4 linked regions of the Arabidopsis thaliana genome follow. The protein of the gene in region 2 binds, or shares a complex with, the protein of the main gene of each other region. Each region holds a gene or a part of one and is shown on either strand. Other genes may lie near its edges. The genes, in order: AT5G10960, AT3G18500, AT1G06450 and AT1G27820.

Evidence for each region.
Region 1: AT3G18500 (region 2) and AT5G10960 share a complex: the UniProt entries of both Arabidopsis thaliana proteins name them as parts of the CCR4-NOT complex.
Region 3: AT3G18500 (region 2) and AT1G06450 share a complex: the UniProt entries of both Arabidopsis thaliana proteins name them as parts of the CCR4-NOT complex.
Region 4: AT3G18500 (region 2) and AT1G27820 share a complex: the UniProt entries of both Arabidopsis thaliana proteins name them as parts of the CCR4-NOT complex.

The regions. Positions count from the first base shown.
Region 1 is NC_003076.8:3,462,301-3,467,150, reverse strand, and holds AT5G10960 (Polynucleotidyl transferase, ribonuclease H-like superfamily protein), read right to left. Parts: upstream 3,054-4,850; 5' UTR 2,788-3,053; intron 2,674-2,787; 5' UTR 2,571-2,673; coding exon 1,737-2,570; 3' UTR 837-1,736; downstream 1-836. UniProt on the Arabidopsis thaliana protein: Ubiquitous transcription factor required for a diverse set of processes. It is a component of the CCR4 complex involved in the control of gene expression.
Region 2 is NC_003074.8:6,350,637-6,355,991, reverse strand, and holds AT3G18500 (DNAse I-like superfamily protein), read right to left. Parts: upstream 3,521-5,355; 5' UTR 3,449-3,520; coding exon 3,136-3,448; intron 2,962-3,135; coding exon 2,792-2,961; intron 2,722-2,791; coding exon 2,656-2,721; intron 2,491-2,655; coding exon 2,438-2,490; intron 2,345-2,437; coding exon 2,263-2,344; intron 2,176-2,262; coding exon 2,086-2,175; intron 1,790-2,085; coding exon 1,697-1,789; intron 1,614-1,696; coding exon 1,581-1,613; intron 1,494-1,580; coding exon 1,387-1,493; intron 1,296-1,386; coding exon 1,184-1,295; intron 1,107-1,183; coding exon 1,021-1,106; intron 925-1,020; coding exon 840-924; intron 755-839; coding exon 695-754; 3' UTR 546-694; downstream 1-545. Other genes in the region: AT3G18510 (ATP-dependent helicase/nuclease subunit), read right to left, coding at 8-103, 174-281. UniProt on the Arabidopsis thaliana protein: Acts as a catalytic component of the CCR4-NOT core complex, which in the nucleus seems to be a general transcription factor, and in the cytoplasm the major mRNA deadenylase involved in mRNA turnover.
Region 3 is NC_003070.9:1,963,834-1,967,887, forward strand, and holds AT1G06450 (Polynucleotidyl transferase, ribonuclease H-like superfamily protein), read left to right. Parts: upstream 1-2,006; 5' UTR 2,007-2,090; coding exon 2,091-3,173; 3' UTR 3,174-3,386; downstream 3,387-4,054. Other genes in the region: AT1G06440 (Ubiquitin carboxyl-terminal hydrolase family protein), read right to left, coding at 1-1,072; ACD32.1 (alpha-crystallin domain 32.1), read right to left, coding at 3,475-3,511, 3,770-3,934, 4,031-4,054. UniProt on the Arabidopsis thaliana protein: Ubiquitous transcription factor required for a diverse set of processes. It is a component of the CCR4 complex involved in the control of gene expression.
Region 4 is NC_003070.9:9,689,630-9,693,221, reverse strand, and holds AT1G27820 (Polynucleotidyl transferase, ribonuclease H-like superfamily protein), read right to left. Parts: upstream 1,595-3,592; coding exon 662-1,594; downstream 1-661. UniProt on the Arabidopsis thaliana protein: Ubiquitous transcription factor required for a diverse set of processes. It is a component of the CCR4 complex involved in the control of gene expression.

The sequences.
Region 1 (4,850 bases), on a different chromosome or scaffold from region 2:
AAATAACAAATAGCCCTAATCATACTTAGTTACTTACCATTTTTTCCGCAATCAAGTACTATACATCAACAGAAAAAAAAACTAATAAAATAAAAGTGGGTGCTTGACAGCTTCTTTTGGATTCACAAGGATATGTATATCATAAGTTGATGAGTAATCGTTATAATTAGGGTTGGCACTGATATTTTGCTGGTCTCAACCAAATTGATAAACATACTATGTTTAGGCATACCAAATTTTCCTCAACGAGAACAAGTTCAAAAAAGACATATGGCAGCCACAAGATAATAATTAGACACTAATTAACTCAATTCATATCTGATATGTATATAAATAATTTTGATGCTATTTCGTCCGCACTGTGTTACACATTTTTATTTAAATATGTAACGTTTTTTTGGTTACCTAAAGCAAAGCAATAGCCAATAGTGGTCATTTGATAATAACTAAACCCTAAAACAACAAACATGCCCAAATCAGAATCCCAATTCAACCTTGGTAAAAACGTTCTCCCACCTCTGATCAAAGCCCACACAACAAAGGCCCAAATCAGAATCCCAATTCCCAACACACAAACACACGTGAAGAGACTCAGAGAAGCCGTTAAAGACAGGACTAGCAAGTACACTGTTTCTTCTGTAATAAGAAGTAGATTTGATTCTCTGCCACACCTACATAATAGTGACTCGGACTTTTGCCGTATTGCTGTTGTTTTCTTCTTTTTACTTTATTTCTCGTGTCGTGTTGCTATTGGATCATATGTTTTCGATCATCAAACAAGTTCGTGTAATGAAATATTTAAGGTTTTGAGAAACTTAGATTTAATTATCTTGATGGAAACTGAGTTCATACACAAATCCACATTTTGACATAATACTTCCAACAGGCTGATACTTTTTTTTTTTTCTTCGGCAATTGAATGAGCTACGACGTCTCAATCAGTCAAATCTCGTAATCTTCTGTACCACTTGCGACTCAGATGACGTCTGAATACTTGCCCAACAAAACATTGATTGCATTAGAATGCTACTCATTGACAATATGATAATAAATTGGCTATTGAGGTGATTGGCGAATGCAACAGCATACATATGTGATTCTCCTCCACATTAACCATGACATGATACCACTTACATCATAAACACCTAAATAACAAATCTATACATCAATCGATTACCATAGCTCTGTTTTTTAAACAATGTAACACATATAACCTCTAGCATAAGCAGTTCATTGTTCTCCTTATCAACTTGTATCAACGAAGAGGGAAAGAAGAACACAGGAAGATTCAACATTCTCTTAAGCATAAAACTTACCAGTTTGCATCTTCAAACTGGTATGGTTACAAAGAATTACACAGTAACTGCAAGCTGAGACATGCAAACGCTACTACAAGAAGCCACTGTCAAGTTACATTGGTCACTAGTAAGAAGAAAACACACACAAAAAGAAAAGAGAAGAAAAATTAAAATTGGAGATTATTTATTAAATAAACGGGTAGCTGAATTGATATACATTCAGAAACTCAAGCTAAAACAAAAACCCCTCAAATTTTGATCACAAGGGGTTTTCCTGAAAACAAAGCAACAAAGACACAACAAGTCACTTACTAACACCAATTTGCCAATTTACACAACGACGATTCTATTTTGGTCTTCTCACACTCACAAAGACTAAAGAAATATATCTAATCGCACTTCCCTGGAATTTTCAAAGTATCTTTCATTCCTTTCTTCTTAATTAGCAACAGTAGTAGTAGTACCATCTTCCACACCTAGACCATACAAGACTCCAGTGTATTTCTCAGTTGATCCCGGGAAATAACGTTCCTTGAGCTTCCTAAACGACCCTAAGGTGAGCAAGCTATCCGACCCAGCTTGATGACAAATCCCAACTCTCTCCACTCCCATAAGCTCCGCAAGTCTGTTCAATCCACCAAACAGTCCGTTGCAGAACGTCATCAAGTGCTTGATATCGTAAACCGTAGGGAAATACACATACAGAAGCTTGAAGAAATCAGCTTGCTTGAGAGGCAATTCCTTACAAGTCAACAACTTAACCAAATACCCGAAATCATATCCACCATGGAACGTAACCCACGAGATAGCATCGTTCAAAACAATCCCAGACGACATCATAAGCTCACCAAACCTAACCACATCAATACCTTTCTCAATGTTCTTCTTGAAATCAATCCCACACTGACGCAACAGCTCAATAGACTCACTCGCGTAGATATCCTCACCGATGTTGAACTCACGGAAATTGAATTGCCAGATGCAGAACTTATCCGTCCCACAAGTCGGAAGATTCCCATTCTCATCAGAAAAAGTTAACCCAACTTGAATCAATTTCAACAAATCGACATTTTCCTTGAGAGTCCTGTAGTTAAGATCGTTATTGTACTTGAAAGTAGCAACAGGCTTCAAAACCACACCTGGAAACTCAGTATCCATAGCGATATAGCTGAATTTGTCAACAATCTCACGGATCAACGCGAATTCTTCAACCAAATTGTAATCCCAAACCTCTCGAATCATAATCGAATCTTCTTTCAAAGTCTCCGCCATTTCTAGATATACAACAAACCCAGATCTGAAAACAAAGCATACGTCGGAACTCGGAAATACTGCGAAACTCGTATCGGTAGATCTGTAAACGAAACCTTCCGATCTGAGGAAGAGGCAACAACACCAGGAAAATCAGAAATCGATGTAACAAAAAGCAAACCCTAGCTGTGAAACGAAAATCGAAATGAAACGGAGAGACATGAAAGTATGAAATTACCAGAGGTTTCGCAATACAGATGTAAGAAAAGGAACAGATCTAGCAGATTCGAAGAGAGATCTGTGCGTCTGCGAGAGAGAAATTATCGGGTCAACCAGAGAGAGAGGTTTCAAGTGGTATGGCTTTGGAGAAGATGAAGTGATAAATAAAGACAAGTGTGAGCCTTGAAACGAAGCCGTTTTGTTTGACGATGAAAAGCTTATACGACGACGTTTTGCCGTGCGTCTTCTTACATCAATCATTACGTTTTGGCCAGTTACCAATTATTTTATCCGTATTGTCCGTTTTCTAATTATTTTAATGATGCGAATTGTGTGATATGATGACCAATTTTTATTTATGTGTATCACGGAAATTCCGTTCGTTTGTAACTTCCATGATCTTTTTTTTTTCTTTTGCTTTGTAGACCTACCTCCATTATTCTTAAATTTTATGTATTTTATAGCATTTGGTACTAGAGTTAAATTGTTATACCTTATTATGACGATCGAACTTTATAGTTATAGGAAAAGTTGTATAAACTAAACTGCATTTTGATTTTTGTACAAGTCTAAATTTATATGGTTAAGAAACAGATTGTGCTAATAAACAATCAAAATTATTTATTTTTGCTATGGAGCTAGTCAGCTAGATGATTTGAAGAACCTTAAAACTTCTTTTTCTTACAATTTTAACTCAGTTTTATATCATTTGGTAATAATATTCCTACGGATTGTCTCGCAATTTTATATCACATTTTAATAATTTCTGTACTGATTATCTCACAAAATTGAAAGAATATCAATTTTTTTTTTTGTCGAAAATTTGAAAGAACATAATATTTGATTATTTTCCAGGTAAACTCTTTTATTTCTGTTTTTTTTTCTTCTATGTAAACTCTTCAATTTCGGATTTGTTTCCTATGTAGTTCTGCCAATTAATTGAAAATATGGTATCTTGTTTTTTTTCAACTCAAAAAAAGGATTTTAGATTTATGTTATCTTGTTATTAAGAAGGATTTGTTAGCATAATTGTTAAACAAAACAAAGTAATTTTAATTATAATAGAATTGACTTTGGGATTTCTACCTTACAAGTTACAAGTGGCCAATATTAATGCAATCATACAACGAATGGGAAGACGTTTGATAGAGATACATGCATCACTTGTTACAATCATCTTCGTTCATGAATAGAATCATTTTAGATTTATTTATTTTAGAAAAAAACTTTCAAGTTTCACCAGCGTAATCAGTTTTTCTTCTTAAAATTATTACATGAAAAGATTCTCCAACTCAAACGAGGACCAAAGTTCTTTTTTTTTTTACAAAAAAAGACAACTATTAGGAAGAAAGGGGATAAAGGAATTTTAATTCTAATTATTATTACGGAGTCAAGGCATCATCGTGCTTCCCACTTACCCTCAAGCATAATCCATTGTTTTGTAATAATTAATTCGTTTTTATATAAACTAATGTATTAGCTTGTTTTATATCAAATAATTGTGTACCTTTTTCTATAAATTAAAAAAAATAAACAAGTAATGTCAAGTCACGAAATATTAGATGGTGGTTTCATCATCCGACCATTTTTAGGAAATTTCTTCTGGAATCCAACACATACCAAACATGAAAGTTTCTGCATAATTGTTCTTATATATATAACAAAATTTACTTAATTGTTACCCTCCAAAAATATGTCTCACCGTGTAATTGCTTGCTCATCTAAAATCTAAATAGAATTCTATATTTAAAATCAAAATCGAAAAAAACGAAAATAGAAACTAAAATTGAAATTTTTGTTACTTAAATTAGAAAGAATTATTTAAACAGTTGCATGTATTTAACGTAGATAAATTCTTTAATATCACGTGCACATATAATTTAGATTAGGTAAATCATCTAGTACCAAATATTTGTTTAATTTTATGGGTTTTGGATTGTTTAGAGATGTTTAGATCGTTCCTACAAATGTTCGAACAGCTTGATAAAACAAATGTCATATTCTACATGAACTCTAGGTAACATTTCGATATGATCTATTATAAGATACACTTAAAGATAAGAAGGCTCATAGCTGTTAAGT
Region 2 (5,355 bases):
AAATAAGCTAAACAGATTCTTCATTGATCTGAATAAGATTTTCTTCTTCTTGTCTCTTCTGCATATCCTTCTCGTATTGATTCAACGCTTCCTCCATCCTCATCTGCGTAAAACCCAACAGTCTAAGGTCGAGCACAAGCTTTCTCATAGGAAGACAGAGAGAAGAAACAGACCTTGTAGCTAACTTCGATGCGATGCATTACGTAGAATCCGAGGGCCCCGCCGAGAAGTGTTCCAGCTATGATCCGTGCGTAACCCCATGTCATTGAGCTCAACGCCATTAATTTCCTCACTTTCTCTTGTCTCTTCTTCCTTCGATTCCAACTTTACAGCTCTCAATCTCTTTAGAATTCCTTTTCATTTTACCGGAACCAAGATTAGAACCGTACCAATTGGTTCAATTCTTTCTTTTTGGTACATTTAAACCAAGCTTATGTCCGCTTCGGTTTAGATCCAGAATCAAGTAAACTGGTTCTCTCACTTTAAATTACGTTCGAAGAAGTCGATTTAATATCCTAGTGACCCAATACGCACACAAGATTGAAGCTTCTGATCGTCTCAATTTTTATTTATTTATCGAGAAGTCGGTTTGATATAGAACCATGATCAGGTAATTTCGGTACGCTTATACATTTAATAAAAACACATTTATAACGGTTCGGTTCAAAGAAAACTAAGCTGGCACTAGATGCCTTTAACCGTCCGGTTCAAAGACAAATTCAGAAACAAGAGCCAAGTGATCGCTTCCCAATTCCTGCAAACCAAAGACGAATAAGGCTTTAAGCATCAATCATAGAAATGACCTCACCAAATCTAAACTGTTTGATAGAAAGACATACTTGACAAGGAAGGCCTTTGGTTTTGCATAGAACATCAATAGGAAGTGTGTCAAGAACTCTTGCAGGTAAAAGACCATCAGAGTACCTTAACCAGACCACACATGTATTTCTAATTAGTTACTTCATCAGCCAAATATTAAATTTGTCCATTTGAGTTTTGGTTGTGTTTAGAATGTTTTACCAGAGATAATCAACCGTTCCGAGAAATTTCGAGTGATATGAGGTTGCTAGAGGTTCACCAACAGAGTCCCTGGTATTTGCTGAGCCCTGTTGTGTACCATGTTCATGAGCAAATTTAAGGTCTTGTCATATATAGACAGGGACATTAAAGCTTTGTTTGTTACCTTAACTGAGGCGTATGAGCTATTGAGTTTCAGAGGATGCGCAGCCCAGTACGAGTTCTCTTGCCCGGTTGCGACACGGATCTCTTCTTTTGTCCAAGAGCTACAAAAACTTCTACTAGTGTGTGAACACAATGGCTATTCCAGCAGGCAGTCACAAGACAACCATTCACAGAACTGATTAAATCTTCAAAAAACAATCTTACCTGAAAGTTATTGTATTACTGGATTTGCTACCAGTTTCAAGAACTTTGGTAGGACGACAATTTTTCTGGCCGGACAGCTCTTTTTTGTCATGTTCCATGACATTCAGCTGTAAGATAGAAGCATAATCCTATTTAAAGAAACTACAAGAGGACACAGTGTAGTTTGACTGAAGCAAAACTATGAATAGTCATACCTCAGAGGACGCCAAGAAGTTGTACAATGGACTCTACACGTAATAAGATAAACTCAAACAATGAATAAACAAATACACAAACCAAAGTGGAAGAGTTTATTTGAAAAGATACGTACCTTGGGAGTGCTATTGAAATCTCCGCATAGAACAATGGGAATGTCACCCCATTTCTTAGAGAGCAAGTGAGCCTTTGAGCAGAGTGAACGGACCTATCAGTCAAGAACAAGGCAAATCAGGAACTCAAGAAAAAACATAAGCCACGAATTCAATACGTTTTCATGAGCATTAGGACATATACTAATGAACATGTCATGACATATACTAGTAACTTAGACTTGTCTTAGATATTTAAACTAATGCTAGTAAACATCTCTTGACTGAGATTCAGTACAATTTCCTGAAGTCTTAAAGCCAAAGGTGAAAGGGCCAGATCAACATTTTGTAAACTTTCATGACAGTCAATTGCTCGTGTAGCGGATATACAAATTGAAATGTCGAGGCTTACCTGACCCAGCTTCACATCTCCTTGATTTGGATTATAAAGCACGTGAATGTTACCCAGCAGTATCTTTCTTGACTTATTAGACTTCCGGAGCTGACGGGAAACCCAAAAAAAAACTGGATCAGTCAAAGCATATACATGAAAAAAGAAGTTCGTAAAACATTCAAAAAAAATTTCTACCTCAAGAACAGCAAGCTGTGCAACATTATCCCGCATACCAAACTGGCTAAACTCAATGTTTTCCCTCTCCAAAACTCCAAACCTTTTGAAAACAAGATAAATCTTAAACAATGCTGAGTTGTAGTAGTCGTTTTTCTTCACACTAATACAGATTGAGTCAAACAATATGTGCTACCTGTCAGCCTTCCAAAACATTGCGCAACCATCGACGTTATCTCCAGTTCGCCGCTGCCATTGCAAAGCTTATATTTGTAGTCCTTCTATATAAACACAACTTTTGTTGAGGCTTCAGACGAAAAGGTAAATAAAACCAACCGACAAACCATGTCTTACATTTTACCCCATTAATCTTATAAGCATAAAATTTTTCATTGAACAAGGAAATACATCAACCTTATAGGAGCCAGCATATCCAGCTTTCTCCATCATACTGAATAGATCAAAATATTTATCTACTTCCTACAAAGGTCCACAAACAAAATCAACTTAACTATCTTAACACGATATAAAACAAGGTAAAGTTCATTACCTGCATAGAGATTATGTCTGGATTGAGACGAATGAGTTCTTCGCATATCAACCTTTTGCGGTAGCCCCACTTGAGGTAAGGAACAGACACATTGGAGTACAACTCTCTGTGATATGATGAATTTCCATCTCCCAATATGTTGTACGACACTACAGTGAATCTCTCTAAAGCTAATATTACATAGAGACACACTAGTAAGATCCAAAGGCATCCACAATTTCACAAGCTTCATGGACAAACAGTAACTCAAGCTATTACTAATATCTCTAATTTACTAAATCCTAACTAGTTCACAAATTCATAAGTAAGAGCAGAGTTTTTCCATAAGATCATTATTAAACTACCTTGAGAAACTGGAGTTGTATCTGAATCGATCCAATCACGAGCAATCTGAGAAGACGGTATTTGATCGGGATGTTGACGCCGGGGAAGAGGATTCTGCCATCTACGGCTGTAAGAGCGATTTGAAGATGATTCGGGATTTGAATCGGACGGTCCAGATGTGGAGGAGGAGCAACACACGAAAGAGGAACGGAAAGATAGAGACGATAAAGGACATTGATGGAATCCAGATGAAAGGTGACCACCGGAGGGTAAGATACGGTAAGCTTCGCTTGGCCGTGACCAAGAACAATCAACGCGATTCACACAACGCATTCGATTTTGTGGATGTTAGAGACGAAATTCAGAAATTTGGATGAAATCGAAAACCACACAAACCTCTTGGCGCCATACGGATAAATATCTTTTTTTTTTTCTTCCTTTGGTCAGAGAAAAAAAAATACCAAACCATGGGCCATGGGCCAATACTAGTATACTACACCAGGCCTTGTTTAGCTGAGATCCTGTTTTTTGTTATTCGGATTTTTTGTTTTAATGTCTATTGTTTTTTTTTGTGAGTTTGATTTCAATTTATGTCATTTTGTTTCTAATTTTAGTAGGATGTCAGTTTTTATTTTAGTCTAGTTTTATCATGTTAAGAACTTGGAGATGATATTTGATTTTGAGTTATGAGATTTTGTTTTTTCTTTCATCGTCCTTGTAATTTTTTTTTGTTTTTTCATATACTATGATATTATTTCTACTTTTATTGGAGTATCAATTATTTGATTTCAAATTTAGTGATAGTAGCTCAAAAAAAAAAAACCTTACACAAAAAAGTATATGTCTTTTTGTGTAAGGCGATTACTGATTACACACACAAAAAAAAAAATGTCTTCGTTTCTACCTTTTTTTTTGTTGCAATATTGCCTTTGACAAAGAAAAACTCTATGATTGCGTCTACATTATAATGTTCTTTAAACTTTACTATAAAATATCACTAACTAATCTTGAAATACAAATTAGTGAAGGCATATTGTTAAATATAAAAGTGTATGCGATTTAAAACATTACTGATTGAATTGCATAATCTCATTTTATGGAAAAAAAGTAAAGTAGGTATAAGAAAATGGATATAACAAGATTAAAAACAAAAGAGAAATAAATGACACGCAACAACCAAAGCCAAAAGGGTGCGTTACCATTAATTCAGGGAAAGCGAAATAAACCCAAATCTCTCTTCTAACGAAGTAACAACTCACCCACTTCTCACATTGATTCACTCCTTTCCAGTTTTTACATATAGCCTTCGTTCATCAATCACCTTAAGCAAATTGCAATCACAAAAAAAAAAAAGTACAGTACTTAGCAAAATTTTAAGTTTTTGTTATTTCCACGGCAACTTAGCAAATATGCACCACATATTGACATTAGCTAATATACAACACATGTTTTTTTAGAAATGTACAAGCATTAACAAATATCCAACACAAAATGACATGATCGTAGATGATTAAGATAATTCGATCCCTATAACTAATAGTTTCCAAAACTTCTGCTGACTTTTCTCTCGACAGCGATGGTAAGAAGAAGGTACAAAGTTTTGAAGCCCGAATATAACAAAAGGACAGAAAGCTTTTAGTTTTCTAGATAAGATCTTAGCTTTGGTCACGTAAAAAAAATTAAAAGTGAATTGGTTAACAATATAGGAGTACTTTGTATCCAAAGGTCATTGCAATAAATAAACACTTAAGTACTCTGTAGTCACACATCTCTAGGAGCTTAATATTGGATAATCGCTTGTAGACTTGTATTAAAATATTTAGTAGGTCAAATCCCTATCTTCTACAGTTTCTACTCTCGTCCGTACAGACTACAGACACTATGCTATAGTTTTGTGTTGAATTCTACAAAGTACAAATTCTTCTTTCGGTGCCAATAACAAATAAACACAATTCTCAAATTACATTTGTCTAAATTTTTATTTGATTCGGTATAAATGTAACGCTATGTTGGGAATCATATGATAAATCCAGATTAAGACTTCTTATTTAATTTATTTTTGTATATATAAAATATAATATCCAACCATAAAGTTTTTTTACCGATCGATGATAATGTGAATCCAAATATTTTAACAGGATGATAAATAATTGATGTGGCTTTTATAACCGCAGCAATTCTGGCGTGACTCTCTCCGCAGCATTTATTTTTCTCTCTATAAATTAAAAACATTACTTACT
Region 3 (4,054 bases), on a different chromosome or scaffold from region 2:
GATTTGGATCAATCAAACGTCCTCTTTCATAAGCCTCTCTGAGAAAGACAGTGTGTCTTTTCCCTTTAGTTGACACATAAAACATGCCCGGGTGATCCAAGAACAAATCTCTTATGTTCAAATCAATCCCAAAACATTTTCTGAAATGGCTGATCTTTTCTACCTCCACCATCTTCTCTACAGTCAGATTCAGGAACTCGTGAGCAATCGCAACCGCTCTTTTCTCTATTCCCATCACACCGGATCTACTCTTCTTCTTACCAACCATGTCCTCGTATGGCCCTACGTAAGGCAGCCTCTGCCATTCCTTAACTTTAGCCTTAAATGTCTTGCTCAGTCTCATTCCTGGTGGGTAACTATGTTTGAAACTAAACTGAATCTCGGTTCTATCGACACTGCAATCCTCCTTAGAACACTCAACCACCCTCCATTTCTCAACCGCGGCCTCAAATTCCAGTCTTTTCTCTTCTTCCTGAACCAGCTCTAAGATATGGGTGTTGGATTCATGACCATCACTAAGCTTAAAAAGATGAGGGTTCTTTGAGATCACAGAGTCCTCAAAATCATCTGGGAGCCCAAGTTCTCTCCAAACCTTAAAAACCGCACGAAGCGGAATGGACTTTGATATGGACATAGACAAGAGCCTAACCAACCGGTCAACAACAAGAGACAAAGTAGCAGTGATAGCCAAAGCCTCTTGGCGAGAAATCTCCATGGCTACATCAGTTAACCTGCAAAAGGGCTCAGCTTTCACAGGATCATACAAGACATGAAAGATGTGAGGATACTTTCGCAGGAAAGAAGCAGCGCCACGATTAAGGTGGAGCTTCTGGGAGAGCCTGGAGAGAAACTCAATGGATAGAGAGGGAGGATCAGCTGTTGGATTGGCGAGGGTAAGGTCTTGTATGGCAATGACCTTGAGAAGGTTCTTGTATTTGTCCATGAGCTTCTCGAAAACAGGGTCTCTTGATCTGGAAGCTACATATTGAGCAGACGTAGTCGTTGATCGGACATTGATGATGGAGCCACCACATGGGTGAACCAGAAGTGATCTCATGAGGAGGAACCTCATAGTATCTCAAAGAGTATATGGAGCTATTTTGAGTTTCCGCGTTCCACAACGTCGCTGTATATACCCACACTCTCTGCGGAATTATATCGAACACCTAACAGGCATTAAGGGAAAAAACGAAATTAAAAAATGAAGTAGAAGAATTATATGGACCTTTGTATTTTCATGTCCAAGACCAAAACACATCTATAAGCGAATCAATTACCGCTATAAAATTTATTTAAACTAATAAAACACATACAATAATAGTTTAGCCTAGTAAATAATTATACTAGTTTGATATCATAAACTTTTGGTATGAGAGGATAAATGCTGTCAAATATAAAGTTTTATAAAACAAAATATTTTAATGTTATGGATAAGTTTTTGACTTACAAAGAATTAAAATGGTATGATGCGATTTCTATAATTAGTGTCAAAGCATCTAATAACAATAACCATTCAAGTTCTTAGTGTTTAAAATCAAAAGTTTAAACACTAATTGATACTCATTTTACATATTAATCTAATACTTGTATTGGAAGTTTTGCCATTATCTATTAATTATATGTAATTTACTTTTTGGGACGGAAAAAGGAAATTGTGGATTGGTTAAAAAGAGAGTAAAAGCACCATATAGTAGCAAAAAGTAAAAGATAACTACAAGAATTTCCTAACTCCTAACGAAAATTAAAAAAGAAGAAGATAATTTCTAAATTAAATTTAACAGAAATTAAATTAACAAATAAAATTATAATCAGAGAGAATATAAACCGTCATGATCAACACCGCGTTAAAATTAATTGGAGAGCAAGCTATTAGCTTAAGCTATGTATCTTTAATTAATTAGAAAAAATCCGAGAAAAAAGGAAACTCAGGTACACGAATTTATTTAAGAAAAGGATAAATACTCTCTTTTTTTTTATAAAGAACCCTAATGCTCTCACACAATCAATCAAACCAAAAAGACTTCTCGTATTCATGCCTCTCCCTCCTAAGAAAAGAACCCTAATTTTTATTATCTGCAGAAATCATCATCATGAACGAGATTCATCAACCGCTGGCGAGGAGAGTATGGAGAAGCAACGTCGATGAAGAGATGGCTCGTATGGCCGAATGTCTCAAGCGATTCCCACTCATCGCTTTCGATACAGAGTACCCTGGCATTATTTTCCGCACTTATTTCGATTCCTCTAGCGACGAATGTTACAGAGCCATGAAAGGTAATGTCGAGAACACCAAGCTGATCCAGTGTGGTTTCACTCTTTTCAACGCCAAGGGAGAGATCGGTGGTGTTTGGGAGATTAACTTCTCCAATTTCGGCGACCCATCAGACACACGCAACGAGCTTTCCATCGAATTCTTGAGGAGGCATGGTTTGGATTTGCAGAAGATTAGAGACGAAGGAGTTGATATGTTCGGCTACGGGTTTTTCCCTAAGCTTATGACTGTGTTTCGTTCTCAGAAACACGTTGAGTTCGTCACTTTCCAAGGAGCTTACGATTTCGCTTACTTCTTGAGTATCCTCAATCATGGCAAGCTACCAGAGACTCACGGCGAGTTTGCAACAGAGGTTGTCAAAGTGTTCGGTCAAGTTTACGACACCAAGGTCATGGCTGGATTCTGTGAAGGACTAGGTGAACACCTCGGGTTAAGCAAACTAGCCCAGCTACTTCAGATCACTCGTGTGGGAAGAGCACATCACGCTGGTTCAGACAGCTTAATGACTGCACTTGTCTTCATCAAGCTTAAACATGTCTATGAAGATTCCAGATTTGCTAGAGGATTGATCTATGGAATTGGGAAAAGCAACCTCGTTGCCGCCCCTGCCCCTGCGCCTGTGCCAGAGCCGACTCTTCCTTTGATGTGCCAGCAGAATGTAGCTTCATATCCTGTGTTCCACAATGGATATGTCCAGAACTATGAGCAGCCTCAGCTTGTCTCCTACGATCCTTCAGGTGCCCCATGGGCGTTCTGTAATGCTACCGGTACGTATGTGCAGCTTACTCATCTACCTGCAAGCACTTTTGCATACCCGTCTCAGACGCCATCTGCTACTGTTGATTATCTTGGACCAGTTCCTAATTATTACAACAATAATGCTTGCTACGTAGTTGAGTAGATTGAGATTTCCCCAGCTTTAGGATGATTAGATGCTTCTGAGCTTTTTTCTTTTTTTTTTCTTTTTCTTTTCTGGCTTTTGGTAGTAGTAATGAAGATTTTATTTTTATATATTTATGGATTGTTTACATGGCTTCACTTTGAGTAATGCCTGTCTACAATCTGTGATATATAAAAGACCAAACTATTTTACATAAAAGACCAAACTTTCTTCATGATTTGATATTTTTCTTTTCCACACAAACTGCTATATCACACACAATGTTTACCGTATCTATATATGGTTTCAGAACGATGAACCCTCAAAGCTTTGGAATTACTATTCTCAGAATCCCATCCCTGTTTCAAACGCAATAATAAATTGGATGTTAGTGCTCTTTATAAAACTTGCTAAATTCTATCTAAACTAATTCAAGCTAATGACTGACTGGCACTAAGATGTAAAATTGGATTCTAAAACGACTACTTTTTAGGTGTGCACTACTAGCTAAAACCTACAGGCAGAATCTATCATATGAACTCTAGGATTGAAAGATTTAAGGAGAATAGTTGTTTGATCATACGGTTAGATTGTTAGTAAGTATAGCTTCTACTTACATAAATTCAGCGGAAACATTATCCTTGTTCACATTGCTGGGGAGTGGCCAGGAAACTTTGAATGGTCCTTGTAGTATTTCTTGCTTATGATATCCAAGGATCGAAGCTTTGGTGCCTGCATCAACTTTTTGACAGATAGATGTGCGTCTACCTGTCACAGTCAAGCTGCAGCAGAACGGTAAGTACCTTTGTTACACAATGCATTTTTACTGTGTGAGTAATGGGAACAGATTGAAAAAAGATGTGTATCAGCAGGATTACTTTGTGTTGTCAACCTCCACTCTT
Region 4 (3,592 bases), on a different chromosome or scaffold from region 2:
TAAAGTAAAACTGAAATATTTGTCAGTTAATTAGAATTTAGTTCATACTACTAAAATGAAGATTAAACTCGTTCCGAGTCAATGCGAACCGAATAAACAACGATCGACTGTAAGACCAAAACGAATCTCTTTATTCGGCGAAGACCATAAATTTGTAACTAAAGATAACTACGTCAAAGTGTAAAAGTAAAATAATAAAAATCTATTTGAACACAGTTCTTTTACTGGGTAGTTTCACCCTTTACAAAATTTGCAGAATGTAGTTGCAGCCTATTCGACTTTTTGTAAATGACCAAGTTGGCAACTTAATAAATACCGCGTGGTTTATAGCTCATGTGCGTAGACTTCCGTGTGAAAATGGAAGCGGCACAAACAGAGTTGTTCAATTTTGTTGACAGGAACGCAGCTTTAGCTACATAACATAAGATTAGAGGCTTTGAGTAGATTCTAAGATATTTAAATTTATTTGTACTGTATTCTAACTTTTTAGATTCATTAAAAGTATCCAGTAAAGAGAAATTGTGTCATATGAGAGTTAAGAGAATTGTTTTGATCGACAAGAAAAGATGAAAGTTAATCTTTAGTATTTAAAGAAACATCTGATAAAACTAGAAATTATACATAATAGCAGAGCAAGTCATGTTAAACAAACATTCAGGGATCACAAAACATAGTTCATTCCTTGGACCGGCATCCTAAAGTAACCACCACCAAAATACGGGTTCTGGTGATGAGCAGCAAACATCACCGGTCTCGGTCTCGGTATCGGCATCGGTATCGGGATGTAACATCTAGTCATCATAAACTGCTGATGCTGTTGCTGCTCTAGTTGAAATTGCTGATGATCAACTCGTCTTACACTCTGCTTTCTACTATTAAGCAAATCGAAAGTCAACTTAGTGAAGACACGAGCCGTCAATTCACTGTCTGAGCCAGCGTGATGAGCTTTTCCAACACGTTTCATCTGCAACACATCAGCTATTCTCTGTAGTCCGAATTGGCTACTTAGTCCGCTGCATGATTCAGCGATTTTCTTTACGTCAAAAACAAACTTTCCCAAAAGCTGCTGGACGGTCTCGTGAAACTCTTCCTTAGTCTCCGGTAACGGTTTCCCTCCCGTTAAGCCTTTAACGAGATAAGCATTGTCGTAAGAGCCTTGAAAATTCACCCAAGTTATCTTTCCGTCCTTCTCCGTGAGAATCTGAGAAAAGTCTCTAAAGAATTCATCGATTCCAATACCTTCCTCTCTGATCTTGTCCAGATTGAGACCATTGCTTTTCAGAAACGCAATGGACTTATCGTTTTTGAAGCACTTATGTTCGTCGAAATCTGACAAGTTTATTTCCCAGGTTTTAGCGAATCCTCTTCTGTCGAATAGCGTGAAACCTAACTGGATGAGATGGGTGTTGTCCACATTGAACTTCATGTCTCTGTAACGAATTTCCTCACTCGCGTCCATCGGAGTCTCCTTTAAGCATCCGGGAAACTCTGTGTCGATAGCGATGGAACTACAATGTTTCAAACAATCTCTTATCGAATTCATCTCTACTTCCTTGTTCCATCTCCAAACTTCACCGCTACTAATTTGCTTCATCTCGAACGAAACTACGAAAGAAAAAAACGTTTGTTTTTCTGAAAGAGAAAAGCGAGAAGCCACCTGAATTTATTTTCGTTTGGTTATTAGGATTGTTGTTAGAGGAGATTAGATTATGTAGAGTAACACAGACTTCAGTTTCCTTTTTTTTTTAAGGCACAACACAAAATTTCCTTTTTGTTTCTCCTAATTCTTGTTAAACACGAGAATTTCCATTTTTCTCTTAAAAGCCAAAGAAAAAAAAAAAACTAACTTAGTGCGGTGATTGTTTTTCGCACATAATTATGTATATTTTATATAGAGCAACTAGATATTTGTTTAAATAGATTTTAATAACTTTATAATCATTTTTTACTGTGAATAGAAAATAGGGTAAATTGCAGGCCACATCCGTTGACCATGTTTTATTTCCATGGATTGTCAAAGTCAAATGTGGTTTTCACCATTTGTCTTTTCGCCTGCAAAATGACGTTTCTGCCCTTGCGTTTCTCTCTTAGCAACTGTTGAAATGTACGGTTTAGTTTAGCAGGTTTAGTTACGTACACTGTTCCGGTTCAGTTGAAGATTTTTTGTTCACGTTGACGCGATTCGGTTCCGTTACAAGTGAGATTATTCCGAAGTGACATCAACATTTAATGCCCCCAAAAAGTTTAGATGTGACTATTGTCACAATTAATGCAAAATCATCATTACATCAAATAATATTAAAAAAATTATTAATAATAATTAAAAAAAAATTTGTTGAGATGAAGAAGATGAACCCAGGAACAAAGAATTATTGCGAACGTACATTGCTGCTGAAGAAGTGTTGATCTTGTTTTTGTACCAAGTTTGGAGCATTGCTCGTGTAAGTAATGAAGTTCTTTTAAGAAGTTTTTTTTATGTCATATTAGGATCTTGATTGTGTTCGAACTCCATTTTTTTATCAGAATATTTGCAAAATCTATATTTGTTTGTTTAAAATAGTCAAATGATAATTGGTATTTAGGTTTATAAATGTGTAGTATCGACATTCCATTTGTTTTTTATATGTATAGTATTTTTCAGTTGCATTTAATGTGTGTCTCCTGAATTTATGATGCAGGTGGGTTATGGATATTCCCGTATTTACCATGGTCGGTGAGTGGAAATGCAAAGAAGGAGAATGGAAATTTGAACCTGAGGAAGGCATCTTTGGTCGTTGTGTACGCGTTCAGGAAACCATGACGTACACGGACTTTGTCCGTACACTCCGAGAGGCTTTCAGTTTGAAGTCCACCGAGATCAATCCCATAATTAGCTACTGGATGCCGGGTGAAATGTCAGTGCTGATAGATACTAAACGCCCTCCTGTATACATTGACAGTCAGATGGGTCTCGAGACGTTTTTTTTGGTTCGTGGTGGGTATCTTTCTCTCAACTTGTTCGTCTCTTTCAATAATACAGTGAAGGCGTTCGGGAATACTGTCTCTAGGTCTCATGGTGAAGTTTCTGAAAGTGACCGTGTGTTTGATAGTGCTACAAATGTTGATGAAAATAATGAGGATGCAGAGGAGCAAGCCGATGTTGAAGACGATACAACAGAAGCGGATGAATTGGAGGAGGGCAACGAAGATGATGATGGGTGTGATGATTATCTTGGTGTGGATGGATCTATTGGGGGAAGTACCCTGTATCCTACCACAGACGGTAGTGAAGGTATTGGCGAAGAATACGATTACAACAAGTGGAACGATGTAATAGTAGAAGAATATGTACAAGGAAATCTTGAGGAAGACGTCAGTCTCACTCAACAGACTGCTCAACATCCAGGGAAATTCAGTCGTTTATTGGAAACGTGTACGTACACGGGTGTTAGTGTACCTAGCGGAGATACAGGGGAATTCAGTCGTCTCTTGGAAACGTGTACGTACACTGGTCTTAGTGTACCTGGCGAAGAAACAATCTCTCCATTGGGTTACGGTACACGCTGCGAAGGGCAAAGGGATTCCAATCTTATTTGTATAGACGAAGTCACCA